Oreochromis niloticus: one gene and its partners. The protein of the gene in region 2 interacts with the protein of the main gene of each other region in a pairwise test. Links are inferred from orthologs where the notes say so. Each region holds a gene or a part of one and is shown on either strand. Other genes may lie near its edges.

The links.
Region 1: the proteins of rabac1 (region 2) and zfyve21 interact in binary tests that used the Homo sapiens proteins (3 or more experiments, as listed by UniProt). The two-hybrid records come from large-scale screens. The link is inferred for Oreochromis niloticus from reciprocal best matches to the Homo sapiens genes RABAC1 and ZFYVE21.
Region 3: the proteins of rabac1 (region 2) and pbx3b interact in a two-hybrid assay, tested with the Homo sapiens proteins (2 studies listed by BioGRID). The two-hybrid records come from large-scale screens. The link is inferred for Oreochromis niloticus from reciprocal best matches to the Homo sapiens genes RABAC1 and PBX3.
Region 4: the proteins of rabac1 (region 2) and nudt18 interact in binary tests that used the Homo sapiens proteins (3 or more experiments, as listed by UniProt). The two-hybrid records come from large-scale screens. The link is inferred for Oreochromis niloticus from reciprocal best matches to the Homo sapiens genes RABAC1 and NUDT18.

What each region holds. Positions count from the first base shown.
Region 1 is NC_031983.2:6,347,424-6,354,875, reverse strand, and holds the start of zfyve21 (zinc finger FYVE domain-containing protein 21), read left to right. Parts: upstream 1-4,449; 5' UTR 4,450-4,524; coding exon 4,525-4,650; intron 4,651-5,277; exon of another isoform or gene 5,278-5,759; intron 5,760-6,064; coding exon 6,065-6,115; intron 6,116-7,452. UniProt on the Homo sapiens protein: Plays a role in cell adhesion, and thereby in cell motility which requires repeated formation and disassembly of focal adhesions.
Region 2 is NC_031976.2:24,028,024-24,035,243, forward strand, and holds the start of rabac1 (prenylated Rab acceptor protein 1), read right to left. Parts: upstream 3,003-7,220; 5' UTR 2,849-3,002; intron 1,491-2,848; 5' UTR 1,468-1,490; coding exon 1,346-1,467; intron 1,188-1,345; coding exon 975-1,187; intron 869-974; coding exon 771-868; intron 317-770; coding exon 215-316; intron 1-214. Other genes in the region: dedd1 (death effector domain-containing 1), read left to right, coding at 5,519-5,990, 6,074-6,202, 6,708-6,848. UniProt on the Homo sapiens protein: General Rab protein regulator required for vesicle formation from the Golgi complex. May control vesicle docking and fusion by mediating the action of Rab GTPases to the SNARE complexes.
Region 3 is NC_031977.2:11,506,180-11,514,063, reverse strand, and holds the start of pbx3b (pre-B-cell leukemia transcription factor 3b), read left to right. Parts: upstream 1-4,872; 5' UTR 4,873-6,175; coding exon 6,176-6,423; intron 6,424-7,019; coding exon 7,020-7,099; intron 7,100-7,884. UniProt on the Homo sapiens protein: Transcriptional activator that binds the sequence 5'-ATCAATCAA-3'.
Region 4 is NC_031977.2:38,180,231-38,187,112, reverse strand, and holds the start of nudt18 (8-oxo-dGDP phosphatase NUDT18), read right to left. Parts: upstream 3,017-6,882; 5' UTR 2,880-3,016; intron 2,791-2,879; 5' UTR 2,789-2,790; coding exon 2,618-2,788; intron 2,533-2,617; coding exon 2,422-2,532; intron 1-2,421. Other genes in the region: sdhaf1 (succinate dehydrogenase assembly factor 1, mitochondrial), read left to right, coding at 5,128-5,376. UniProt on the Homo sapiens protein: Mediates the hydrolysis of oxidized nucleoside diphosphate derivatives. Hydrolyzes 8-oxo-7,8-dihydroguanine (8-oxo-Gua)-containing deoxyribo- and ribonucleoside diphosphates to the monophosphates. Hydrolyzes 8-oxo-dGDP and 8-oxo-GDP with the same efficiencies.

The DNA of each region.
Region 1 (7,452 bases), on a different chromosome or scaffold from region 2:
GTGTTGATTGATTCAATATTTAGCTTTCGATGTGTGAAGTTCCATGTTTACATGATTTGGGGTTTGTAAATTATGTTTTTATTTGTTTCTGTCTTTGCGCTGTTTCTTTTTATATCGTTCTGTAATAAGCCTTGAGAGCAGGATCCGTGGACTGACTAGCACACGAAGGCTGGCCCGCACACTCTCAGGACTGAGGCTGTACTTCCACACACTGACTACAAACTTAACGTCACTCCAGACTTTTTAAGTAATGACGGGAGAAATGTTTGCAGGACTTTCAATGACGAGACAAAACTTTGCCATGTGAGTGAAGTTGAACCAAAAAGTGGAAATTTTTTTAATGAACACCACACGGAATTTTTAATGTACATTTTTGTGAAGTGATTTAAATTTCCAGTTAAATATAGAGATATCCAACATAATCCTGGTATGAATACTGAAGGACTTATCATTAAAAAAACATTTAAACAATTTCTGTGTTTAAATGTACAAGTTGACTTGTGATTGTTCTAAGAGTTAATCTCGAAATTAAACTTTTCCTTTTACTGGCCTTTTGATAACTTTATGTTAAATGAAGGTAACTATGCGTACATGCTCACTTCTTTAAAAGGAAGCTACATAATATTTAGCATATTTAATGTCCTTTACTGGTGGTAAGCTTGAACTGAAAGAACATACAACCGGTTAAATGATGATGAAGTGCCTTGTTTAAGAGATCCCCAGAGATGGTATATTTTGTGTGGAGAGTTTCTTCTGTTTGAGCTGGGCTGTGTATTTACATTTCTTTTCATTTCAGACACACACAAATGCACATGATGTCCATTTATGGAGAAGTAAGCTGCTACAAAATATATTTTCTATATAGATTGAAGTTATAGAAATAATGAAAATCAAAAATTATTAGAGTGAATGCACATGCAATGGTAGTCTGCAGCTGAGTCCATTTTTTTATACTGCCTTAGACATATAGATACATTATAGATGTATATTTTTACAGGAACTCAGAAGCCTGTTCTGAAATGTTAGAATTTTGTCTAAACGCACCTAAACAGCCTCACCAGCTGCACATGACCTTTGTGTGCATGTCTTTGAATTTAAAGTCTTTAAATTAGGTTCGAGCAACGATTATACAGACTAGATTAGAAGATTGGAAATTTGGTGAGAGATCCTGAGTCAGCTTTTAACATTAACATTAAACATTAAATTAAACGCAATGAACTTCACATTGGACAAATTCAGTACAACGTGATCTAGAAGAAGGCGTTACAGTAACATATATACAAAGATGCGCATACAAAGGATTGATGAGAAAAGCTCAAACAGATGAAACGGCACAAAAAATTAGAATAAACCCTTCATATCAGCCTAGGAATGACCACAGTGGTCTGTTTAATAAATGCACTAATGATAAAGAAGTCTCCACAGATCAACCATAATCAGGTTTAACCGTCCATCTCCAAACAACCCTAGTACATTTGTAAATCTTTAGCATGAACACCTAGTTGAGAAGGATTTGCACTGGAAACATCAGACTGGCGTAAAGTAATAATGATGATCTCCCACCTTAAGCTGCATTGATTATTGTACTGATGTGTGACTAATGCATTTGCTGCATTGTACGTTGTCTCTGTTGTGTTTCCTGAATCTTACATATTTTTTTTGGCAGGGTTGTGCAATATGGTTTTGTTTTCATTTCTCTTATTTGTTGGAAAAAAAAACCCCCTCTTTACATCTCACAGATCAGACCTTTAACTTCAATAAAAATCGACACCTGAAGAATGAATTCACATGAAGGTGTCACAAACCATTATACTGTTATTTGCCTTTCTTTAAATTATTTGTTCCAATTTCCCAAATGAATCTTCAGTGGTTTTAATGAAATGTGCAACACTGATATAAACACAAAGAAAAACGTTTTGAATGGAGTGTACACAGATACAATGCAAAGATGTTGAATACAGAGGTTCAAGAACAACTTGAACTACCTACAATAATTGTGAAAATCTCAGAATGTGGACTGGCTGAAACTATTGGACTTATTCTAATATTTGTAAATTTAAAATTGAGCAATTTAAAAATAAATGTGACCTAATTTGTATTAATTTTCACTGTTTTAATTGAGCATAGTCAAAGAACAACCCACTGGAATTTGTTGTGAAATCAAGTCACTTTATTTAAAAGCTGGGCAATGAGCTTTGTGTAGGATGTGTGTGTCATTTTTTTAAAAAAATAATTAAAATTCAAGCAACTTAACGTTTTATAAGTTTTATATCATAATTTGATCATTTCTTTGAGTTAATATTAAAATGTCAGTATTAGGGCTGCCACGATTAGTCGACTAGTCACGATTACGTCGACTATTAAAATCGTCGACGACTAATTTAATAGTCGACACGTCGTTTGAAGCTTTGTAAGATCCCAAAAGACGCAGGAATAAGTAGTAGTATTTAAGAGTGTAATAACGGACTGAAACAGAAGATGGCAGCACTGCATGTGTAAGGATGCCAGCTGCCGTTAAACCCCGAAGAAGAAGAAGCGGTGTCCCAGAATTCATAGCGGCCCAGCGCAGTTGTCAACAATGGCGGCAGCTAGTTAGTTTTAATATTACTCTTATTATTTTGGGGGGGGGTCACAAAATAAAGTTTAACATATTTTCAGGCCAGAATGTAGCTGTTTAACCTCAAATATCTGCTCAGTTTATCAAGACACCACGTATTTTCAAAAGCACTCCGACGTTTTCAGAGACGTCTGTTACCCACCAGCTCGATAGTTAGCCAGGGTTCAAGGCTCACTAGAGCCTGTGAGAACAACGGACTCCCGGCAAATCGTTTTCAAACCCACCGCTGTCTTTCTCTACTCAGGTTAAACATGTAATATAAGTCACTTAGATAACTTAAAAATGTTATTGTTTGGCTTTTTTTAGTATTTTATTTGTTCCTGAGTAAATCCGTTTGGCTGAGAAAAGTTATAGGTTTTACACAGCTGAATAAACGTCAAGCAGACAACTGATTATCAGAAGTGTGAGATGCTCGAGAGTATACTCTGGTGTCCTGTTACATTTTAGATAGCAAGGAGCAGACGGCTGAGTTTATTAAACTCCACCGAAACAATCTGCAAATGTCATTAAAATTTAATAAACTATCATCTTGTCTTTATTTTTAGTTAGCACATACCTTAAACACTTAAAGCTGTAAGCTAATGATAGTTATATAAGAGCAGATGCATGCTGGTGCAATAAACTGTACGTTTTACGTTCAATGGATGCATGATCTGATTAGTCGACTAATCGCAGAAATAATCGGTGACTAGTCGACTATCAAAATAATCGTTTGTGGCAGCCCTAGTCAGTATAGGAAATTGATTTGGGTACATACAGTTACAATAGTGGACGCTAATATTAAACATCAAGCAAAAGGTTCATTTAATGAGGCCATCCCCCCTCTTCTCTTGGTGTAGTATAAGAGCATATCTTGCTGTGAGCACAGGAGCCCCACCCACCTGCTGTTCAAACCTTCCATTTGCAAGGGGCAGCCAATCAGAAGAAGAGTCATGGCGGCTTGTTTTAGGCAGATGAGTTTGCCCAGTGTGAAGTAAATGAAAACTGTGATAGGGAGAATAGGGAGACTGGGGAGAAAAAAGGACAACTGCTAGAGAAAGGACTGCCATGAAAAACATGTAAGGAATAATATATTTTAAGACTACTTAAGCATAAACTGTGGGAGGAAAGTGTTTGCACATCGCTTGTATATTGACACAGCGTGAGTTAAATCATGTCGGTGTAGCCCCATCTTCATGCACCAGTCCACAACAAAGTGCCTCCAAAGTGTAGTCCCTTTTCTAAATCACAAGACTTCTAAAACACATGTTTTTAAATGGAGCATGAAATTATTTTAAGCACACATAATAGCTCTGTAAACTCTGCCCAGGTCGTTGTTTAATATGAAAAACTACTGTGCTCTGTGTCTTCTGTATACAGTAAGTAAATGTTCCTGGTGTAACCAAAGCTTACCTGTAGTCTTCTGCTAAGCTGGTAATCATATTAATTAAAGTATCGTTACAGAGTAATAATGTGTAACAGAACAGAAACTGTGATGAGAGGGTACTGTTGTTCAACACAGCTCACCAAGTTATGCAGAAACCTGTTGTTGGTTTTTACTTTTTAAATTTGCCAAATCTTCTTTTATGTCCGCTCAAATTATGGTTGTCCAAAGTAAACTATATATAACTATAATTTTTTTCACAAATCATTATCAACCTTTCATGTGTTAAATTTAGTGCTAGTTTTAAAAACTCCGCATGTTTTACTTCTCCTTCTACGAGTAGTTAATATGTTTACTTTATTTTTAATGGGAGGGGCTGCAGAAACCAAAACACTCAACTTTGCCAGAGAAACACGTGATCTCAAATGTGTGCTCTGATTCGCTAAACAGCCTGTCAATCATTCTGAAGGGTGTGCCCAGATGAGAGTTTTGTGGTCGAAGGAGACTCTGCTGAACACAGAGGAGAAACACACGCTGAAGGAAAATGTCTTCAGTTCCTGACGGGAAGAAACTCATCCGCAGTCCCAGCGGCCTTCGCATGGTTCCGGAAAACGGCGCCTTTAGCAGTCCTTTCTCGCTGGACGAGCCGCAGTGGGTTCCGGACAAAGAGGTGAGACAAGCGTCGGATTTGGTTTGACAGCGACAAGCGATCACAGCCGTGCAGACACGAGAAGCTTAACTAAGGTTTTCCGGTTGTAGTTTCCAAAATAAAATCACCTCTCTGTTAAACTAGTGGGAATAAAATTGAAGCCGCTTACTAATGCTTGTGTTTGTCCTGCTAGTCTCCTCCTGTCGTTTAAAACGCAAAGTGCTCAAATAAAGTAAGAGTCTAGTGGTAGCTTTAGCTGTAGTTTTGATGATGTTGTATTTTATTCATTGTAGTATAACTTGAGAAAAAAAACAATTTAGTGCGCTGTTTTGTTTTTAAAATCCTGACAGCAAAAGTCACTGGACTGTTTTCACAAGGAAAATACAAGGAAACATCCAAAATTAACTAATATTTACATTTTACATTAGAACACTGATTGTTTGGGGCTTCAAAATGTAAGACCCTGTTTCAAGTTATCAGTGATAATCACAATGTGTTTAAATAGCTGCTTTTATTTGAACGATAGTTCAAGGTCCAGATATATTTATCTAAGCTGCTGGGCGTAGTAAATTTTTTTTTTTTTAAAGAATTTTTATTGTTGTTTTATACTTTAAGAGTTGTTAATCAGTGCTTTTCAGATTAATTTGCGCTGTGATAGGCTTTTATTTTTTGTAGTGAAACGGCTCTACATCCGGCTTACATCCTGCTGACTGCGGCGAGCTTGACGGCGCTCCGGACATCGCAGTTGGCCGCTGGACTGGGCGTTGCAGGCTGTCACGGCCAGCCTGGCAGCAAACGGAGCTTGTTAGCTAGTTAACAGCTACAACTAGCGGCAAACTTAATTGTAGCGTTTGTCAGCGTCAGAGTGACGAAACCCCTCTGGTTGTGTGCGTGTTTGACTACCAGCACGTAGGTTAGCTAAACAGCAGTAGGAGCTAGCCCTTCGTGCCTCGAAGGCTGTAGTTTTACTGCACTGGCACACAGTGCAGTAAAACTACAGGAGGACACACAAAGACTGTCTGTCTGCGAAAATGTAAACTCTGGCTGCACACAGGGACACTTTGACCAGACTGGCGAAGTTAATCATTTACTATTTGCTGAGCTCAGCGTTCAGATCTTTAATAAGAGGGGTAGGGATTTAAACACAAGCCTGGCACTAATTACAAACCCATATCTTTTGATCTGTCAGTGATAAATCACAAGTTTGACGGTTTAATGAACAGTTACCACTTGTCAGTAATGACCATAAGACACAAGAGCCATTAACACATACTATTTGTATACTATTATTATTTACACTTACAGCTGCAGATCTATTGTGGCTTGACTAGCTGATGATACTTGTGCAAAACTTTAAAACAGTACTTTAACCGAAAGCTGTCCAGCTCAGCATGTTGTGTAACATCCTGTTTTTTCCACTCTTCCCGTCTTTCAGTGCCCCAGATGTATGCAGTGCGACACCAAGTTCGACTTCATCAAAAGAAAGGTCTGTTTTGTTTCTGACAATGCGAACGCTGCAAAAAATCTCGACTTCCTGTCAGACTGGAAAAACATATGGTGGATAAACCAGCGTCTAGTATAAATGTTTTGTTAAACAATGTGAGGCTTTCGTTTAGTTTGTGTTGTGAATGCATAGATGAGTTACTCCTTCTTGGATCATTTAGTCAGAGCCGTGTGTTGATATTTCCTGCCAGTGTCCACCGACATAACGCTGTAAGCCTCCTGCCACCACTTCATTTTACACCTACTGAGTTAAAATAATCACCCTTACAAGTGTCTTCCATATTTGCCTCTTTTGTCATTATCAGAGCCAGCTCTAGACTGCTGCCTGAAGTCAGTTTCTAGGTGTTGAATTACACATGTCCTGTACTCTGCATCCCTCACGTCTTGGTTATCTTGAGGTTTTAGCACAGTTTTGATATTTTTAAGCTTCCCGATTCTTTAAAAGTGCAGTGAAGCAGATGTGGTTTTGCTTTGCCTCAGTCTCTTATACTCTTCTTGAGAAGTGTTTCTTCATCAGCTCAAAGTCTCTGATTAAAAAGCACATTCTGTCCAAAACTGACACACTTATTCAGAGTGCAACAGAAACCCACCAGCACAGAGGTGGATCCCTCAGGAAATCAAGGGCTTCTATTTATTTGTTATCCAGGCCTCAGAGGTCTCAACATTTGTAGGCAAGCCAAAAAATTTGGGAACTAATGTAACACATGACTCACCAAAATCAGTGATGTGGAAATTTACAGGAAATTGCTCTGATAATAAAAAAAACTGCTCATTAATAGATGTAACAACTTCGTACCATCAAAGTCTGCACAATATCCATTATACACGTTATAATAAACTTTGTTTATTAATTAATAGTGGGATCTGTTACTATAAAAATTAATACAGTAGCGAATGTGTTCCACTGCAGTCAAACTAGAATATAATACTAGAATAAAACAAGGAAAGTGGACTCTTCTATATTGTTTAGAAACTGTTATTTGAAACCATTAAACACATTTTATACTAAAAACTTTAGAGTTACTATAAGGATATCCTCCATAGTGGTTTAAAGTTACATTAAAAAAAGTTGTCCTAGTATCATGTTTACTAATTTGCAGATAATGTCTTTTGTTTCCATTTTAAAAAGTGCTGTCCTCATCAGAAATGAAATCATATCTACTTGTTTTGTTTAAATTGTATCCACTGTACACTGTATTGCTGTAAGACATACTGTGACTGAGAGTGAGTCAGGCACACAGTTGGGGGTGTAATAGAAGTTCTGATTGGTTGGAAACGGTGCTGTATCTCAGCCAGATCGTTTTGAGATTTCCTGAAAAC
Region 2 (7,220 bases):
AAGGGAAAGTAACAAAGAAGAAGGTTTTTCTTACAAATGCATGAACAAGATTTAGGTTCCACTATTAGAGAGATGTTAGCATTGCAGACAGCAGTGGAATATGTTTAATTATATTTCCAAAATCAGAAAAACACAATAAGAATTATTGATATTTTTTTTTAAAACAAAGATTCAGAAGAGTAACATGGAAGAAGTATAATGTGGTTTGGCTTACCAAGAACCCAAAACACGGCAGCTCCAGCTCCGGCCAACCAGAACACAGGCAGAGAAACGGCTCCAGCCAGACTCATCTGGTGAGGCGTATTCAGCTCTCGGCCTGGTTCACATTAAAATTGAAGGTTTGAGAACACATAAATTATGACAGCAATTAAAGATTCCATAAAAATGAAGATGTTTTATTTTCCTTACATAAATTTAGCTTACTCTTCACTAAACTGACATCTTTAAAGGAGACCTTTTGTGGTTTAGTTACATTATTGCTACTGAGAACTGTAATAGTAGAGAACAACAATTTTGGGGAAAAAAAAAAATTATACAATAGATCGCTTCATTAATCCATTGATTTCATTTCTATACACAAAAAATTAAAGGTGGTAATAAATAAGTAAATAGATGAATAAAGATAGCCAACTTAAAATTTGATGTTTAATTATTCAAGCTAGGTTTATCTAAAAGCAGCTGCCCAAGAAACATTTATATTATTTGTCGGTGAATCAACAAGCAGGTATTTATGTGAAGGTGTCTGAGTTATTTGAGACACTTTTACTCACCAAGCACAACCAGTTTAGACTCCAAAGATTTGATGTGAATGATGTAAAAGGCACCGGCAAACACAGCCAAGGCGATCAGTAGCATGGGCGAGCTGATGCTGAAAAGAGGAAACATCAACAGTTCGATCATTTATTACTTTTTCCATTTCTCACTGGCCAAAACAGATTTATGAGCTCCTAACAAAGTCATGTTTTTGGGCTTACATGCAGTAGAGGATAAGCCCCAAGAAGATGAAGGTGTAGTTGCTGTTGTAAATTTCCACATTCTTCACCACCCTCTGGCACAAGTCTCCAAAGTTGCGGGGTTTTGAAAACTTGCGCTGGTCTACAAAACTGGCCCAAGGTCGAATGGACAATCGGCGCTTGTCGAACCACTCTTTAGCCATGCTAGCTGAGAAGCCTTTGGGAAGCCAGAGCCTACGAAATAAGATGAAGACATTACGTGCAAAATTTATACTATCACTTGGTGGCTCAGTAAGCTTACAATATTAGTAGCAGGTTTGACAGATGCAGAAGCACATGTCAGTTCTACTGTGTGATAAATCTGTGATAGACAAACACATTTTAACTCATACTTTGCCAGGATTCCTGTGCCTCCTGTGCCTGTGGGATGAGCATCCTCAGCTGTGAACAGATCTCCTGCCTTGCTGTCCATGTCCACTTGACAGTTCTCCCCCTTTGGCACTCCAGACGGCATGTACACAGTCTGCTGTGAGACAACTGCAAGGAAGAAAACACAGAATGTAAATACCAGTTGTAAAACATTTCCACCACTAATTCTCAAGTCCCTCTACAAGCAAATCTCCCCAATGGACAGAAATGTTGAAATGCCACCAGGCGCTTATCTAGGCAGTTATTTTGATTCATTATCAAATTTAAATTTTCATCAAAATGTAAAAACTTCAAGATTCAAAAAGACAAAAGATGAAAAAAAAACCCCACTACAAGCAAACTGACTTGGTCTCAAGATAATATCGAAAGAAAAAAAAAAAAAGCTTTCTTCCCCTACACAACAACACTGGTGGACAAAGTAAGACTCATATAGGTTTACATTTAGGGTTCATACTTTTGCTGTCAATGCCTTTCATTTTTTGTTATTCCTGAGAAGCTCATTAAAAAAAGTATTTTAAGCTTGACTATAATAAACCTCAATTAGCAAAAGAGATTAAATTTATTTGAGGGGTGCCAATTTGTTTTTATATACACACAAAAAACTGCTATGCAATTTTACACATACTTATGATGTTGACTCCCATTAGACATTTATATTTAGCAGCATAAGTTGTTTTAAACCATCATATTATAACACCAAAATCTGGGCATGAAACTCGGTAGAAGTAAGACAGAACACATGTGACTGAAAGTGAGGCAGACGTAACAGTGAAGCCGGAAGGAGTGGAGGCTCAGAGCTCAGAGAAGGTTCATGGATGTGGTGAAGGATATAATCAGTGAGATGGAGGGAAATGATCTGCTGTGGTTACCCCTAAAGAGAACAGTCAAAAGGAGAAGAAGGGCGCCGTGATGGCACCACTTAATTGATTCCCTCTCTTTGTTTATCTCCAGATAAATTCTTAACTAAGGTATTTATACATAGATCAGCCAGTGTATGAAGTTCGTGACCAACACCAGTTTTTATATTCCTGCATTTCTCAATCCTGTCATTCCCAGAGGTTGAAGAAACAACACTCAAAAGACCGAGCTTAGCAACAGTAGGCAGAGGAAAATGTTCGTCAGCAAGAGGGCTTGGTCAATGCCACATCACTAAACTTACGCCCGGATATTCCACAACACAATTTCCAGCGAATACTCACTTATTTTATTTTTAATCAGTTAAGTATCCTAACTGAATGGCATTTCTAAACCCCGGTATATAGTCCATCATATCTCCCAGTTGTTCTTAATAGCTCTTGGTTGTACAAATACTGTCGCAGTTAGCTTCTCTGCTAACAACCACTCCAGCCGAAGCGGATTTATGATTTTATCGTACCCCAACTTTACACACCTAATTAAAATGAACCGAAATAAAAATGAACGATATCAACTGCCAAATTTACAATGGTTTAATTACATATACTCACAGCAGGAGATGAGTTTAACGGGACTGCCTCAGACCTTTTGTTGCTGTTTTAGTTTACGGATATGATGTGGCTCTTAGTTGCCTTCCTTGTTGTTGTTCCTAGCTGCCTTGGTTCCAAACACCGCCACCTACTGACAGCATCCAGCAGTTTTCCCTCTCCTATGTTTGGGTGTAGCCTGCAGCAGTACATATATTCTTGTGATTATATGCTTATGGACACTTCGCAGCAAAGCTCGCTTAAAGTGCTGCTTTGTTTTTTGTTTTGTTTTTTCACGTCGAAGCTAAGACAAAAAAAGTAAAATTTAAAAAAGGGGGAGGGGGCGCCCTTGAATCAGCTGTCTTTACTGACTTGCTCAATACTACAAAGTGACTGTTTAGGAAAAACTGTCTTCAGATCAGTTCAAAAGAAGACTGGCAGATCAGCGAGAGCAAAAACGTGACTGGGCGTCGCCGTGGAAGTCAGAGGGCTGTGATTGGTCAATTCCTCCGCGTTGACGTAGTGCAGAACTGCACGTTGCTGTGGAAGTTACTAGATCATTCAGCCCACTCGGAGGTGAGTCCCCCCTAGTTACTTTGGCTTTCTTGAATATTATCGCGTTAAAATGCTTTGAATATTTATCTATTGGTGCATTTTTTCACGCTTTCATGTATGTGACCCAATGCTCGTCGATACTACAGCCAATTTATATTTGAAGTAAGTTAACGTTAGGAGCTAGCAAGCGATATCCATTTCTGTCCTTTGTATGTATCGCTAATGCATACAGAGGAAAAAAAATATTTTTTAATCGTATAGTTAATCCTATGTGTTTCAGTACGTATTTAGCAATGTAGCACACCTGTTAATTTCAGGTTTGTTATTTGGCTAAACCGCTTTTTGCATTGCACTTCTTGATGTTTGTTATGCTTTTTCCACAGACAAACGTGACTGGTTACATAACTTGTCAAAGGGGAAAATTTTGCTTCACCGGTTGTTACTGGGCGTCTGAAGAACGGCTACTATCTTTGGCTTCCAACTGGTTAGTGTGTGTTACTGAACCTGAATGGAAACAAAGTGGTTATAAGGGGGTCCTCCGTTACGTGTTTAAAAAAATGTTTCGAATTGAGGGTGAAAATGGCAAGGACTGCTGAGCTAGCTGATGCAGCCATATAATGGTTGTAGACTAGAGAACGGGCGTAACGCTGCAGTATTACGCCAACATGATCATTGACTGTGTTACATAGCACAAACGGCCTGCTGGGTTTTATAGATAAATACAGTTTATATGTAGCTACACGGGATTTGTCTGACCGTTTTGTTGGAGCAGCGTTTTATAGCTTAAACAGACACAGATGACATTTTTAGTGCTACGTATGTAATGCAATAAAAGTAGGAGTATAGAACATGGAAGAAACTCGAGGTCAAACCTGTTAAATGAGAATTGCAGCCTTTACAGGAACGCTAAGTACAATCCATTATGTGTACATAGATTACAGGGTTTTTCCTAGCTCAGAACAGGCCTTTAGGGGAGGGTGACTATGCACATACGGACAATTTGATCCACTAATTGTTAAAGAAAACCTGACTCTACATGAATTTTTCTGTTATGTTTGGCCACGTCCTTTAGTAAATATATTATAGTCTTTAGTTAATTAACTCCACCTTCAGTAACCTTGTTTAAAAAGTAATTTTTTTAGATGTGCAAAAAAAAAAATCCCAATATATTACTGTACACTGGGTGGGGCTCACTATCTTTTACATTTGATGATTGATGCTGGCGTTTTTACCTTTTCCCCCCTATACTTTAAATCCAAAAGTTTCTCATACAAAATAAGTCCATACTTTTCAGTTGAAACATTTTATTTCGTTGCTGTTTAATGTTGTTGTATACAAACACTGATGGTCATTTTCACAGCTGAGGCAGCTGGCGGTGTGTAAAATGTTGTTGTGCTATTATTGGCAATTTATTAGATAATAATATTTTGGACATATCATCACTCATAAGGTGTTTGCTTGCCGCAAATGACCAGCTGAAAAGTTAAAATGTCAACAAATGCAGTGAAAACAGCCCTGTTTATCTGACATCTTGTCCAGCTACCTAGTTATTACCTGAAGAAGATGTCAATGTCTCACTAAAAGCTTTGTCATCCATTGGTTCGATTTCTTATACTTTGGCTACAGTTGCGCTAGAGTTAAAGCTGCAGGACCTCTGGTGAATTTGGCTTTCAGGCTAGAAAATATGGCACACTCTTCAGCTTTAGATCTATTTTTGTTTGACCAGGTGTAAATGCAGATTAGATGTGTTGCTTTGGACTTTGCGCTACAAGTGTCAGAGAGAGTTTTGAAACATGTAACCACACCTGAAAATGCTTTCAGCATTCCACCACTACCATTGCCCTGTCATTTGTTCCTCTTCAGTTGTAGCAGGATTGACACTTACTTTCTTTCTTTCACTAACCCAGATTTTTTTCTGGTACCAGAATTTGGTGCTGATTAACAGTAGCACTGACATTTTTTGGTCAGTTCCCTCAAAAGTACCAGCTCAGTACCTAACCCTACTTATCTGGTTTATATGGTTAGTCGGATGTATCTTGTTAGACATTAAAAACCTTTAATAGTAATTGTTTTTGTATTTGTTTTTGTAGTCTTATCACTGGCTGAAAAGTGGGAAAGGTCCATAACCAAATCCTGACCATGGCTGCAGTGCATCATCAAGGGTACCCGCTCAGGGATTCACTGTACTGGGATGAAACAGAGTGCCTCAACTACTATGGGATGTTGTCTCTCCATGAAGTCTTTGAAGTAGTTGGTTCTCAGCTGACAGAGACTGACATTGAAGTCCTGTCATTCCTTCTGAATGAAACTTGCTCCGCAACACATCCTCTCGATCCAGCAGGCTGGACAGTTGAACCCCGTGAGGACAATCCAGATGATCCAGGTGTGGCCCCAAGTCCACAGCTGCTAAAAGCATGGCAGCGATTAAAGCCTACGGTGTCACAGCAGCCCTTTTTGGATCCAAAACCCAAGAGTGGCCTTGAGCTGTTGCTACAGCTCGAGAGGAGAGGATACCTTAGTGATGGAAACCTGGCACCACTACTGCAACTTCTAAGAGTCCTTACCCGTCATGACCTGCTACCCTTAGTGTCCCACAAGAAAAGGAGGACAGGTGAGGATCTTGAGATTATGTCCTGCTGTAGTTGATCTCAAATAGTTTGCCATTATGTGTTGTGTGTTTTTTATGCTTTTCAGTTTCTCCAGAGAGAATTGTACAGAGGTATGAGATAGAAAGCACGGAGTCGGTGTGTACTTCTGGAATAAGTAGCAGCTGCAGGGAGACAGAAACTCCTCTTACATCTTTCGCACATCAATTAGAAACTGGTAAGTTTACTGCTCTTTAGTATTTGGCCAACCCGAAGTACGGTCTTAAGTGTTTTCAAGCTGATTAATGATGATTTGAAAACGTGTGTGTGTGTGTGTGTGCCAGATTTTTTTGTGGTTCAGAGTTGGCCTTCTTTGCCCTGATTGACTCTGCTTATATGCAAAATGTGTCCCTCTACCATTAAGGCAATGAAGCTGCTACTTTTTTTCCCCACATAAATCGGTGCCTTTTGTGCATTTCTGACTATTATTATATGTCAGTGATTATTACCCTAATTAAAATAATAATATTTAAAAATAATTTTTGGTGGTTAAAACTTTTTTTTTGGTCGGTGTGTTGTGTGGGGAAGAACATTGTGTACACACCATGATCTTAACAGGAATTTTTCTTGTTGAAAGTTGTGATCAAATATGAGCAGTAAAATTTGGATGAAAAGCTATAAATAGTCCTTTGCAGTTCTTTTTGTCTTGGACTCCTGAACTTAGTCAATATGTTTTGTTTCAGGTATTTACACTCCTGTGGCTGGGCCATGTGCAAGTAGGCGGAGGAAGAAGAGGGGAAATGGCTGGAGCCGTAAGTCCAAGAAAACAAGCAGGGAAAGTCTGCCTCTGCCTCCACCACCAGCGCCACAAAAAGTGTCCTGTGGTAAGTGCAACTCATGCATTCTCGAAGTGTCTTTCTTTTATTTATTTATTTTTATTTTTTTGGTTTTTCTCTTGTCTTCTGTGGTACCTTCATCTTGCTATTTACCCCTGCTGCTCATTTTTCCTTCTTTAAACAGACGAGAATATAATTTTCAGCCTATTAACACCTCCCTGGCATCATCATATTTCCTGTTTAGTTTCGTCAATTCTGATGTTGTTTATCTATGCTAAATCTGGAATGCCAAAATTTTATTAAAAAAATTTTTTTTCGTTGTCACACCAAAATGCATAAAAACACCAAGTTCATGCTTAAGAACATTAGTGTTTAAAAGCTAGCATACAGTTTGACATGTTATTTATAGACTTAGGAGAA
Region 3 (7,884 bases), on a different chromosome or scaffold from region 2:
CACATGAATGAGGTGGACAGAGTGAGGCACTGCTGTAGTAGGTGCTGTGTTATAATGAAGCCTACTGTGTTGGTCTTCATCTGTCTGTATCACCCAGATTTTTAAACCTCAAAGAAATGATCTTATTATTAGTAGCAAAATTCTGTCATGTACCAGAAACATGGTTGAGAGGTATCACGTTTTATTAGTTTAACCTCACATACAGTATTTCCTGTAAACTGTCAACCAATATTTACTATTTACTAGTACTTTTGTATCTATATTTTCTTTTTGAGACTGTGTTCAGTTTGCTTTCTATTTCTTTTGCATTTGTATTTTAAAGTTCACTTGAAAGCCTCCACTAATTTCTTTGCAGAAGAAGACTTTATGTCCAAAACACGTAAGTAGCTTTATTTTTACACTCAACAGTACATAAAGCAATTAAAATCAACTCCTCCTCGATGAGCTTCAACTTAAAAGTGCTTCATGAAAATGCAATTAACGAGAGCCACAGTCCTGCATAATGAATACTTTTAATGTTGGTGCTATAAGTACATTTTGCTGACAATGCTTTGGAAAGCAGGATTTTTAATTTAATTAAGGATGTGAATACTTTCTCCATACATACTTTTTGATTCTACTTCAGTTTTTCATTGTGTTTATGAGTTATCATGTTGTGTCTGCCTTATGTGTATTACCCATCCTGGATATTTGTGTGTATTTGTATTGTTGAAGCGTGTGTTACATGAATAAAAGTAACCTGACTCTACCTGACTTGCACCCGCATCAGAAGCATATACGTCAAAATGTTTAATGGCACTGCTTCCTGCAGATTAAACCAATATTCATGCTACTTCTATCCACTCTAACATTTACAAGCACAATGAAGATGAATTGCATGCACAGCAGCGACAAATATCAAGAAATAAATAAAATATCCAAACCAGATGAAAGGCTGTTTATAATTGGGTTAGTAATATCCCTGGCACCGTCTGCTAGGTCATTTCCTTCAATCTCCCTGAGCAACAGGGGATCATACAGGCGACACTCAGAACAGGAAGTGTCTCGCCGCTCCGTGACAGGCTGCCTTCTTGCATTCTCTCACCTTCTTCAACACCAATTCAAATACAAGGAAGCCGGGAGAAAAGACATCTTCACTCGCACTACACCCGGTGATTTCACAAATCCTTTAATGATTTCTGACCCTTTTTGTGGACAGCGAAATTGTGAACTCATGCACCCATAACTTCTCACTTAATCTGTATTACTCTCATCACAACAGAGCAAGCCACTCTATCAGTAAATGCTAATCTCCTAATTAACAAGCTAATTAGGCAATTACAGCTTTGCAGAAGGATGCCTAAATGAAATATGACAACACAGTCACTTTCCACAGCACCTGTGGGTCTTTTCAGATGTCACGATGAGAAGCATGATGACAAAGTGTTGTCTCTGCACTCATAGGTGCTTATTCCTATGCCTCGCTAAGCACATTTGTAAAAATATTGTCATTTTATTTAACCTAATATGCAGTACTTGTGGAAACAACATGTCAAATTACGTCTAAATTATTTCTCCTCAGATAAACTGACCTGCACTGTTTTCACACCAGCAGCAGTGGTTAGCGCAACCCCTCGGTTATGTAAAGATGGTTTTGTCAACTAGTAGACCCACAGTGTCTTACTGTAAGGAGCTGTCACATACGGAAATGAATTATGTTGACATATGGCTGAAAACAACGGCGAATAGGCCTGCTATGCAATGCAATGAAGAATCATGCACTGCAACAGAGGAGAGGAGTCGGAGCCGTACCTTTGAGCCCCTCTTGACAGGTATGCAGTGTGACTTGACAGCTCAGTATTTCAATGATAAATGCAGTAGTCCTGGGACTCCCATTCACTAAACTCAGGAGTGCATTGCTCCCATACTTCAAGGTCAAATGAATGAGCAAAACCACACAGACCACTAAAGACAAATTAGAGTTTTTTTCGTCTTCACATGTTGAAATTGATTGTGATGTGAACATTTCAAACTTTGGAATTTGGTAGATACACTAATGCAAACTTTCAGCATCAGTGATTTCCTTTAACTTGACCACGTCAGTCGATTTTATTGTGAAACAATTATATATTCATTTATAGGTAAGGTTTTCTGACCTATTCTAGTAAGAAAATCAGAAGCTGAAAAGTTATTTTAAGTAATGACTCACCGTATCATGACTTCAAACGAATTTCTTTCAGTAAAAGTTGCTTCCTTTTCACAACTGAGTTCTGACTCATGAAGATGAATCATTCGCTAAAACTATTCACTATTTTAATACAGTATTACGTGGACCCCTGACAGCTGCCAGGAAAATATTCAAAAAGGAGCACTTCCTGAAGTAATAAGATGATTCTAATAATGCTGAACAGATAATGCAGTGATGTAAAATATGGTCATGCCACATTGTATCTATCTTTACCATCTATATGAGACAGGTAACTTTCACAGGTGTCATCAGAGCTTAAAATGCGTTAGCTATGTGTGACATCACTATTATAACGCGCTGTTTTTGAATATTTGCCATAGAGAAAGTAAAGACCACACACTGGATCACATCAGCGAGATTTCCACAGTCCACAGCCATAGTCTCAAACCCATAGTCAGTCTCTTACTTTATTCCAGTGTCAGCTACACACCTATAATATTTTGCAACTGCATCTTGCAGAGTTGTGACTATCATGTTGACAAAATCTGTCAACAGACACACAGACGAACACCTGCCAAAGCACTAAAAAACGCCTTTGTGGTGGTTTCTGCAACATTGTCTTGACGACCACATTTTGTCACAGTGACACACACACACACACACACACACACACACACACACACACACAGGTAGACGTACACACAAAGACAAATAGAGCAAGGTTAAAACAATATCAGCTGTTACTAGTAGATATCAAACTTTCATATAAATGACAAAGACACTTAATCAGGGAGCTACAAACATATTCAAGCTTAAGAAGAAGGTGGTATTTTGTGAAGCTGCCATAGCCCCCAGCAGTCCCTCTATTGGTCAAACAACACACATCTTTGATTCCTGCCTTCATTTTGAGCTCAGCATCACATCTGTAAATCTTTGAAGCTTTATACTGTACAATTGCGACACTGCCGTGTTGACAAAATCTGTCCACAGACAGACATACAAACACCTGCCAAAATACTCAGAAGTGCTTTTGTGGTAGTTTCCGCTACAGTAGTTGTCTCCAGGAAGACAGTTTTTCATGATGACGCACTGACAGACTCACAAGTTGAACATGATGCCAACTTTCCATGTCACAGTAACTTCTGGTGTTCATCAAATTCAGACTTACATTTTCCATAAAATGAATGAGCTCTTTTTCATTTTTTTAAAAAAATCTCTTTCTCTTTATTTAAAAGGATCAACACAGTTTAATGAACATCAATATACCAAATATGTATATTTGTCAACTATACATGACATGTTTAAAATGCAAAGATGTCACATTACAGAGAAACTGGTAGTTTACATCTGTAGACGCAGGGCAGGTCAACATAAACCTTTCAAATAAGCAAAACCAAACAGATATATGACAAAAACAAATAAACTTATTGTCATTCTGCAAGTCTATTTACTTTTAAATTTTGCTTAAAAGAGTGATATACATGCTGCACATGCATGATTTAGTCTTTTTTACATCTATGATTGTTTTTGGCAAAAATGTTACAGTTTTTCTCTACATTTGATGTTTCATGAATTAAGCTAATTCCAAATCTGATAAATATGTACACATGCAACATAGTCAAAATTACAGGCAGATGTTGACTATACAGAACATCCTGTTTGTATTTTGATGAAATTAACTGTGCAAAAATAACTAAATAAATAGATATTTTAAATGCACATGTTCACTCAGTGTGCTAAAAGGTGCTTTTAGAAGAATCATGCTACATCCTGGTATATTGTAAAGTACTTTGCGTCCACAGTACAAATCAGCAGGCTAGTTTTTAAAAAAAATTATTTTACTATGAGAAATCATGCATAACGTAAAGGAAGAGTGCGCTCACAGAGGGGCTCTGCCCAAGTTTGAACCCAGGAGTCTGGCTGTGAGGCAGACGTGCTAACCGCTGAACCACCATGCTGCCTGCTGAAACTCCCACTTCCATTATTGATGGCTGCACATTCACCTTTGAACACAGTTACCAACTGGATATAGCACTTTTCTTCAGAAGTAATAAATAGCATTTTAGGCAGCGTTTCTGCTTTTTCAGAGGTCCAGTGAAACACTGGATGGGCCACTTTAAACTACTTAGACGTCATTTATTCAGTGATGTCAGGGTGGAAGAAAAGTGGCTGGTGGAGAATTTAACAACTCACTTGAGCAAACAAGACCATATATTGCAACACGGCCGTGCTTAAATAATGTTTATGTGACTTTGTCACTTCATTGCAGGGTAATCAGAACCAAGCAAAGCCTATTCATCAAAAGTTCACCATTAACGTCTTTGCACAACACAAGCCCTCCTTTGAAAATGTGCTTTCTTCGTATAAAACTCTGTCCACATCCTTTATTCCTACACGTTATCGCTGAATTCATTTTAACTGAAGGGAAACCCCCTATTTTCTTTTTTTTTTCTGATCTCGATGCTTATAGTAGAGGTGCACTGTATATTTGCTGCCATTCCTCCGGCTCAACAACTTGTCTGCTGCCATAGCAACTGCGAAGGAGCACAGAGCAGCGCCGCCTGCTTGTGCAGTGGATGTCACTCGTAGCAACGACCAATCAGAAGTTCCCATCCTTTTGTAAGAGCTGTGGTGAAGATGGAGGGATGAAGTGGGTGGGCTTTCGGCATCATGCATCTGCCAGCATAGGACGCGGAGCTCGTCAGTCTTCGTCATTCTCGCCCGGGATTGGTCGAGGAGCTTTACTTTCCAATAATATAAACATGTCTACTGCTTGCCTGGCTTGAACCGAGGCTTACAAGGGACTGTGCAGTTCTACATCAAACTGTATAAAAACTCTCATTATGTGTTTGCTTGTATTGCTGCAGAGCTAAATCTTTGTTATTGCTAGAGAATATGCACATAGCTGCACGTGCACGCGTGAGGAAACGAGGATACCCTGCTGCCGCTGTTGCAAGAAAGAGAGGGGACTCAGCCGTGCTTTCATCATTATAATCACCATCCTAAGTACTAGCGCTTAACATTTTGTTTTTCGGTGTTCAGGCGAGAAGTGACAAGAATATAGACCCCTCCTCTGCAGGGCGGAGCGTGCATTTTCATTTCGTATTTTGTATTTTTTTTTTTTTGTGATTATTTTTTTTCCTGCCCTCTTCCCTGCTCTGACACGTCTGCACTGAGTGAGTGGCATTGGCACACTGTCAATCGCTCACTACCGCTGCCATCAAACAACATAAAACACACACAGGCAGAGGCTGGAGCTCATAAATTTCAGAAGGGCAAGATATTTTTTTGCGCATCGCCTTTATACAGCGTTGTCTCCTAATTAATTTCTTCTCGCCGTTGCTTTTTTTTCTAGGCAGAAATCTCCCAACTTTTTGTACATTTCATATTTTTTGTAGTCACATTTGGAAACCTTGCTGCAGATTGTGTATTTTTTTTTAAATACTGTCAGTTGTCGCGGGGATAATTTCTGCACATTTATAGTTGACACCTGCGAGCCTAAGATTGTTTTTTTTATTTGTTTACACGTTTTCACAGCGGATATCTTTTTTTTTTTTTTTTAATTTTGTTGCCGGTGCTTCACGAGGAGGATTTGGACATTTTCGAAAGGAAATGCGCCGGGAATCCCACGAAGAGCGTTAATAAATGAGAGACCACCAAGGACCGTTTCTGTCTCTACCGCCCGTCAAAACCCAGAGAAAAGACTGATTGCTATGAGGATCCGTGCGGGATGTGATGGACCGTCAATTTTGACAAACAAGTTTTAAAGAAGAAGAGAAAAAAATATTTATGCGATTTTCTACAAACACAGCCAAAATCAGCGTTTTGGCACTTTGGACCGCGCGTAAAGCGACGACAACTTGGACACAAGATTTACGCTAAATAATAATAATAATAAAAACTGCTGCATATTTTTGACAAAAATCGCGTGTGTGCTGCCTAACGCCGAAGAATCACACAACCGTACATCCTTCCAGTCTGCGGCACATGTTGTAGCCGATTTCGTATATGAGTTTTTCAATTTGTGTGGCTCAGTGCACAGACTCTTTAGCGGCTACTATGGACGATCAAGCCCGGATCATGCAGTCGATCGGCGGTGTCAGTCTGGCTGGCCACTCGGTACAAGGAGGCATGGCACTGCCGCCTCCACATGGACACGATGGGACAGACGGAGACGGAAGAAAACAAGACATTGGTGACATTCTGCATCAAATAATGACCATAACTGATCAAAGTCTGGACGAGGCGCAAGCAAAGTTGGTTGATTTATATGTTTTATTAACTTCGCCACACCAAAAAAAGAAAAGAAAAAAAAAAAACGCCGAACGCATCATTATTGAGATGTGGCCCGTTTAACTTAACTCCCCAATGCACAACAATAGGCTGGAGTGGCTTTAATGATAATCTCACTCTGAGGTGTATTTATTGCCTCGCAAAGCTTTAACACAGTGAAAGTTGCCACTGAGGGAAGCACAGCATTTTAGTTAAACTGTCCTAGAGAGCACGTGTTTTATAAATGTTCATTCATCTACAAAAGTCTACGTGGTGTTGAAACACAATTAATGCCAGTGGGCTCATGTTATGCAGGGAATTGCCACTGAGACTAATATTTACATTAGGGCTTGGTGTTATTTATGAAATGCTTTTATTAAAAAACCCCCCAATAAAAATAGCATGACACATTATACATTTTAGAAGAAAATGCTAACTTTCTGAAGAAGAGGCTTGGAACATTGGAACATTATTAAAGTGGCAACTAAACTTAAAAGCGTGTCCAACCCTTTTAACTGTTTGTGTCAGACATGTGAACTATCATTGAACTTATTTCAGTATTTTATTTTCTCTTATACTGAAACAGGAAACACGGACTGAACTGTCACAGAATGAAACCAGCACTCTTCAGCGTTCTCTGTGAAATCAAAGAAAAGACAGGTAAGATCTTTGTCTAAAATACTGTAATATCAAACTATAAACTCCATCGTTACAGTGATACATGCAATTGGAGAATCAATAAAAGCACACAGGCATTTCTTATTTTATTTTTTTACCTCTCAGTGAGCTGATGACAGCCTGCATCCAGGTTATAGGTGACCTCTGACCGAATGAATCAGTCACTTTTTAAAAATATGTCACCGTACCACTCAGAAACTCCCGTTGTCACGGAACAATAGGCAGAGTCTTCTTCCACTGAAGATGCTCTTTTTTTCTTATGCAAGTGTGTTTTAAAGCACTGGTTTGCTTGGATTTGAACATAAAGTGCGCTCCAGATTTCACACTCACCACCCTGCCAGTGAAGAGGCTGGGGGAGTCCCGTAGCATATGCTCTACATATCCTAGATCACACAGAATCCATGCTGTAAAACCTGACAACGTTTTGCTATCAACTTATAAGAGATTTTTTTATTAGTCAGATTATACGACAGGCTCGCAAATTCATAATTCGATTGCAGTTGTATGAAAGCCTTCCTGCAAAGGTGGATGGTTGATCTTGGAAAATGCAAACAACACATCTCCTGGAAGCTTAGTTAGAGAAAGGGATTGTGAAATAATAATAAAAAAAATCTTCTTTTTATATATTTATATGAGCATAAACTCTGTTATTTCTGTTTTTTTAGGACTAGGATTGAAAACCTTTAGCATGCACACACACTTCATTCATATATTATTGAGAGTTGTAATTACAAGTTTTGTGTCATAATTTTTATAGCTTGAACTTT
Region 4 (6,882 bases), on a different chromosome or scaffold from region 2:
CCATAATTCCTGGGACTGCCGGATGTGAGTAAACAGGCCCTCACGAGGAGATGGTTCAAGCCTGACTGAAGACTGGATATATTCTGTAGAAGACATCTATACCATGGAAAAACTGTCTTTCTCTCTCAAAGTGCAGACGGATACCTTCTACAGAATATGTTTGAGCCTGTGAGGTGGGATTTTCTATCAAGCCTGCCACTTTTATGCTCGTGCACTGATTGAAATACCCATGCTAATAACGCGAAGCTAACTTGGCTACCCCACTACCCCCAACCCAAGTTCTTACGGGGGGGGTTTTCAACTATAAGTTTACAAATCTGAAAGCAAAAGCAATGTAGAGAGTCATACTACTGTTATGTTCAATGTACTTTCTTACAGTTTTTTCTGAATGCTTAAACCCTAACTGTGATTCTTATAGCACAATTTCTAAAACTATTAATACTTATGGCAAAACCACTCACTGAGTTTGCAAAACTAAAAGCACAAACACTGCTTTGCACTCAGTTTGCCATTTTGTAACACACACTTTGCAAACCTGTAGCTACAATCCACTGCACAGCACTCTTTTTGCAGAACTGTAAACACACAACTCACGGCTTTACACTCAATTTCCAAATGATCAACACACTCCTAGCAAAACTTTACACATTTATAGCCATTATTTACACTATTTTGCCAACTGTCTGGCACACTGTCACATGTGAAAACTTTTTTAGATCATTAGATCACTTTGCAATCAGCCTAAGCACTTTAAATAAGCTACAGGTAAGCTCTGTGTGTGTGGAGTACAATGGAGGGAGCAGGAAGAGTGAGAATTAGAGGAGGCCAACGGGTTCAGCCTAACTCGAGCCGCTACACTGTAGCAAGCATCATAAGGACATTTTGAAATGAGAGTCGGTTAGTACAGTCACTTTGCACTAAGATCTGTAGCACTGCCATGCTAATGAGAAACACAACAATACCATAGATGTAAAAATACTGAAATTGTTACTTTACAGAATTGCTAGACGACCAGATGCTGGGAGCAGAGGAAGCATGTTCACTGCAGACCAAGAAACCCATATAGTCAATATGGTGATTGGAAATAATCCTATACTTGGAAATAAACACTTGTGTTTGTTTTGATGTGTGTGAATAAACAGCAGTACTTGAAGTTTGGATCCCTCTATGCTTACGGATCTATGACAAAAGTATGAGCTCAATCTGACATAGCCTACCTTGTGCACAGAGAAAGCAAAAGCCAGATGTGTTTTCATTCATACCATCAGTGTGTAGTTGGTGCATTGTGTGCTTATTAATATGATGGCTTGTGTTAACTGTTGGATACGAAAATACCATTTTTACAAAGGTGTGGAGAGTTAAGCAAAGGTTATTCGCTTTTACAAGGAAACTACAATGTTTTGCTGATTGGGTGAAGAGTTTTCTTATTTGTGTGTAGAGTTTTGCAAAAATAGCCAATAGTTACAAAAAATGTGCTTAAGCCATCAGAAAAAACTGTAATAAAAGAGTTTTTTTTTAAAAAAGAAAAAACTGAAACACCAAAACCTGCAGTTCCTCTAACGTCCACCTGGGGCTCCACCAGCGAGTTATTCCCATAGACTCCAATGTTAAAAAGGTTCAAAACAAGCAAAGCCTCTGATTATGATTTTTCAGACATTTTATTGATATACAAAAAACAAACATGTTCACACAGGTGACATAACACTGATGTTAAAGCCAGATCACTCCTCCTCCTCGCCCCCTGATCTCTGTAAAGCAGTGTTGTTCTGTCAGGGCAAGCAAGGAAGGCGGTGCTTACCCAATGAAAAAACAAACTGTTATTTCAGTATTTTGACTTTTTCAACCTTAAGTGACCGTATTTGGCATATCTTGGTTAGAAAGTTGGCAAGCTGCATTCACAGAGCTTATGCAAACATCACACAAACACATATCTGCTAATCAGTGCTCAGTAATATCTGAACTGTAGCTCCGCCTCCTTGGATGCTCTGTTTTAACAGTGACCTCACAGCAGGCATATTATTGGTCACATGATGTCATTAAAAAGCTCCAAAAGGGTCCAACAGCACAAACAGGGTCCAGGGGTCCAGTTCAGGGACTCCCATTAGTTAAGGTGAAGCCTAGCAGACAGCTAGCTGCTACAGCCACCTGTACCACCATCTACCTGTCAGTCAAAGAGGCCACGCCTCTAATAATGCAAACTTTAAGCCTGAATACAATTTGAACAGGTGAGTAATAGAAACGCTCTTCCGTGTACAGCTGTTATGAAGGAGTATATGATCCACAGAGACCAAACTGTTTGTGTATCAGGCTGTAAACAGGTTTGTTTTAACATGGGAGTCTATGGGGCCTGACTCGCTGCTCCCCCTGCTGGACGCTGGAGGAGCTGCAGCTTCTTACTCTTACAGGCTCCTCCTCACTCACCTCCCTCTTCATCGCCTCCTCCAGGCTCTCCCCCACCTCCACCCTCCCAGCAGGAAGATACCACTGTTTGTAACAGTCCGGTTTGGCCTCCTGGACCATCAGCACCTCCTCCTGAAGGAGTGTTAATTAATTAAATAAGCAATCATTTAAGGGTATTGATGAGACGGAGTGGCTACCTGTGGTGACCTCTGTTCACCTTCTCATTGAAGATGACAGCACAGACGATGTAGGTGACGTTCTTCCTCAGGGTGGCGGGTTTGCTCTGCTCCAGGCCCACATCACACACAGTGACCTCTGACCCCTGCCCACTTAAAAGCCTCTCCACCTGCTCCTCCACCTGCTGCTGTTCCTCAGCTGTCATCTCCATGTCTGTAAGAGGAAGAACAGAGAGCGTCTTCATCAGCTAAAAAAAACACCGCAGAGCTCGAGGCTGTGATTGCAAGCGCGCGGAGGCTCACCTGTGATCCAGGTGTGGTGTTTCTGGTGTCTACCAGGTGTGACAGACGCTGGGAGAGCTTCCTCTCTTACTGTCGGATCTGAATCCTGAAAACTGTAGTTCACTAAAAGTACTTCGTTACTTTCTCCGCAGGTACCGGCGTCATAAATCGCCGAAGCCTTCCCCCCGGAAACAGATGCCGGTGATAAAAGCACGAGCCCCCCTCCTTCAGCTCGCCTGTCTTGACATTTGACTCCAGAAGGTGACACCGGAAGTGCTACTAATCTTCCTGTTCCGCGCCGCCGCAGTAAGAGCTTTTAACCCACTCGAACAGCCCCCCCCCCACGGGCGCTTTGGACGGTCCAGATTCAGATAAACACATCAGAAGGTAACTGAGCTCTAACCAATCAGGAGCAGCGTTCTTAAAACGGGTATGAGCTTTAATTTGTCTGTGTGCGTGCTTTATTGTGAAAATCTGACCCGGAAATCACGTGTTTTGTAGTTTGTCCTGGTCGTTGCGGCTGAGGCCGGTGTTATAACGCAGTAAGGTCACAGAGGAGCTGCTCACAGAGAGCCGGGAGACGTACCTGTGACGGTGGAATAGGACAAACAGGTGAAGCAGCGGAGCCGGTCCGAACCGGTCTGAGCGGAACTCCGTCAGGTAAACAGGAAGTTGAACTGATCGCTCTCACTGATCAATCCTCTGAGGTCCAGCAGCCGCTGGTGTTGTGCCAAAGACTGATTTCCAATGTTTCCGTGTATTTTTTATGTGTAATATCTTTACGTATGTTGGTAAATAGACTTCGGTGAACAGCGTTTACAAAGGGGTTTTATATAGAATTAAAATATTATCTGTTTTTCAAGTATCTTTACAACTCTGTGTTATTGTACTTACATTATAACCAATCCGCTCCTTTATCCCCACTTAAAATATTTTTACAGAACTATTGTAATATTTGCTGCCATCTCTGCTGTCCTGTTGGCCAACTTACTCTTACAAAAGACATTTTTAATGTTAATGAGATTCTTTTTAACTGCATAAATAAAGGTTATATAAAAGTCACTGGCAAAAACTGACTGCAGCTTCTACCTTGGTACACAAATGTTGTTTGTGGCTCCAGATGACTTTATGTCATCCATGAGGGATGCATTTGACATATGTTTCACATATTATAGCCCAACAAGTTACTTATAGCAGTTTAAATACGAGCAATCAGTTTTTGGCAAATACCGGCTGTGGGTTACTTTCATAAGCCATAGCTACTGGTAATACTGCGTGTAGTACTATAATATAAGTAATGCTAATACTACTGTATGTGTTACTGTAAAAACTGTTACTCAGGAGGGTCAAAGGATGGGCATCCAATCAGAATCCAAAGATCACTTATTCATGTTATTTTAGCTGAAATGTGTTTTAGCGAGAGACAGACACACCTAAACTCTGTTGTTGTTATAACGTGTGCCAGGTGAGTTCAATTATCACAGAAACCAATCAGGGATGAGAAAATCAGGAGAGGCAGTCAGGTAAAAAAAAAAAAGTACGGAGGAAGAGTCTTTACTGAAATAAAAACGTGCTTTTACGTGCAGGTCGACACCTGTGTGAACAGTCTGGGCTCACGTGCACGTTCATGCTTGTGCAGGAATATGAAACACACATAAGTACAGCTGTGTTTGTGTTGTTAGATCTGTGCCTTTGTTAAAGATCAGAAACAGCGAGAGCCAAAAACGTGTTCCTTCATCAGAACTCCAGTGAATGCATTCTGAATAAAAACAAGCAGGTAAAAGGAGAAGATTTGTTATATTCAGTCTGGCTCAGGGGAAACTGTGCTGCTGTTGACCGAAGTCCGAGGAGGAGAGGAGGAAGGCATGTTAGGAGGCTGAGAGAGAGAACATGAGATAAAGAAGGATTATTTTGAACTTTGATTGATGCAAAGCTGTTCTTGCAGGATTCAAATGTGGAGCTGCAGGTGAGCAGATGCCTTCTGTCGTGTCTTCAAGGTGTCAGTTTCTCCTGTGGGAGAATAAAACTAGCGACCGTGACGTGATGAATCTGCCTGAATGCTGTTTTGTTGTTCGGTTCTCTTTGTGTTCTTCCTGCAGGCAAACATCTTCTTTAAGACCCTGAATGAGAAGAAACGGGTGAAGCTGAGCCTCGTGGTGTGTTCAGAGTGGACGTGTGAGGGAGTGCAGCCGGAGACACGCCGGTGTTGGAGCGTCATGTGTGCGTAGCTGCCCTCTGATTGGACTCTTGTCTCTGCTGACTCGGTCTGATGTTGCGGCACAGTAAGCTGCAGAAGCAGGTCCTCGCTCTGTACCGGCAGTTCCTGCGAGCCGGGCGGGACAAACCGGGCTTCGTCCCCCGAATCCGCGACGAGTTCAGAGAGAACTCCCGCATCAAGAAGACGGACGTGATGCACATCGAGTATCTGTACCGACGGGGCCAGCGGCAGCTGGAGCAGCTGAGGGACGTCAACACCAAACAGCTGGGCTCCTTCTCCAAACCCAAAGAGTGCGGCTGAAACCGTGTGACCTCTGAATCGCACTGCCGTACCTCTGAAAGACGCCGGCGCCATCAAACTGCTGCCATCGTGCTCAGGAGACGGGCTATGAAGGCCGCAGCAGCGATAGAAGCTGCAGTGAAACAAATGTTGACAGTAATGAATTTTATCTGATGTCTGTAACAATAAAACGTGTCTGTGATGAAGACGAACTCATATTCTTCATATTCATGTTTAAGAAACTCAAAACCATCAGAGTTAATCTGTTAATGTGTTGATGACGGTCAGGCTTCATGTCTCCCTCTGAAATATCATTCATATTGTTCTTCATGCGTCTGCACTGCATTCTGGGTAGATGAAGAGTCATGTGACTATTTTTTTTTTTCAGGAATTAAAAAGAAAATTAAAAAGTTTGTTTCCAGGGGAACTGAAACGAGGGAAATCAGGTGTTTTAGTTTTTACACAGAAAATTGTTTAAAGGAGCTTAAATGGAGTCAGAGCAGGAGTGGGTTTAAAAAATCAGTCGATTTTAGTTTGAAGAAAGTGATTTCGATGCATTAAATCCTGAATCGATTTTTAAATGTAAATGTATTTTGCTAGAAACGCTAAAATCTCAGGTTAAATCTCACAAAACTATTTCAACAACCAGCAAACAGCCAAAACGGTAAACGAGAGCCGAAACATGTAAACAGAGAGCGTGGATCATTCACCTGACGTCACGGACGCGCCGTCAGGGCTGAAGAACGAAAGCTCAGTGATTCTGATGCTGCAGGTTTTGTCTCTCCAACCAAAATTCACTGAACCTGCAGAAAAAGAAGCTCCGAACTACGCTTCACACTTGATAAACATGCTCATTAACTCCCTCTGACTTTGGCTGTTTTACTTCCTGCACAGCTCTCTCTCTCTCAGTGCACTCAGAGTCAGTTTTACCATCAAATCTCTGTTTTCTGCATTATTCTCTGCTTATTACGCACCAGCCTGCTGCTGTGCTCAGTGCTGTCCGCCTCTGACAGTAAAGCCTCATTTCTGCTGTTCAAATTGAAGAAATGTAAACTTTTACAAAATGATTGCTCAGCTGTGTCTGTAATCAAACCTCTGTGACTTTGCATCAGGTCATGTTCACATGTTCATTCACGGTTTTCTTCTGTTTTGGATCTACTGCAGAATATTTTAAGGTTATCTGCTATAAAAAGTCAGGCCAGGAAAATCTGCTTCGTGATTTTCTGTTTTATCCTCAGTTACTGTGACACAAAGGCCTCTGCTGTGATGCTCACACCTCTGATGGAGTCTCACAGTGTCAGCTTTGGTTTATACATAGATATAAAAATATGGAGATGAACTGATAAATAATCAGAATTAGAATATTTCTGACTGTCTGAGTCAAAACTGAACTGAATAGATTATAGAAATGGAAATCGATACCCGGCGCTCAGTCGGAGCTCTGCAGCAAACACGCGGAGACAGCACGCGAACGGAAGCAGCGTTTAGTTTGACACATGTGTCGCTGTGGAGCCGCCGAGCTGCTTC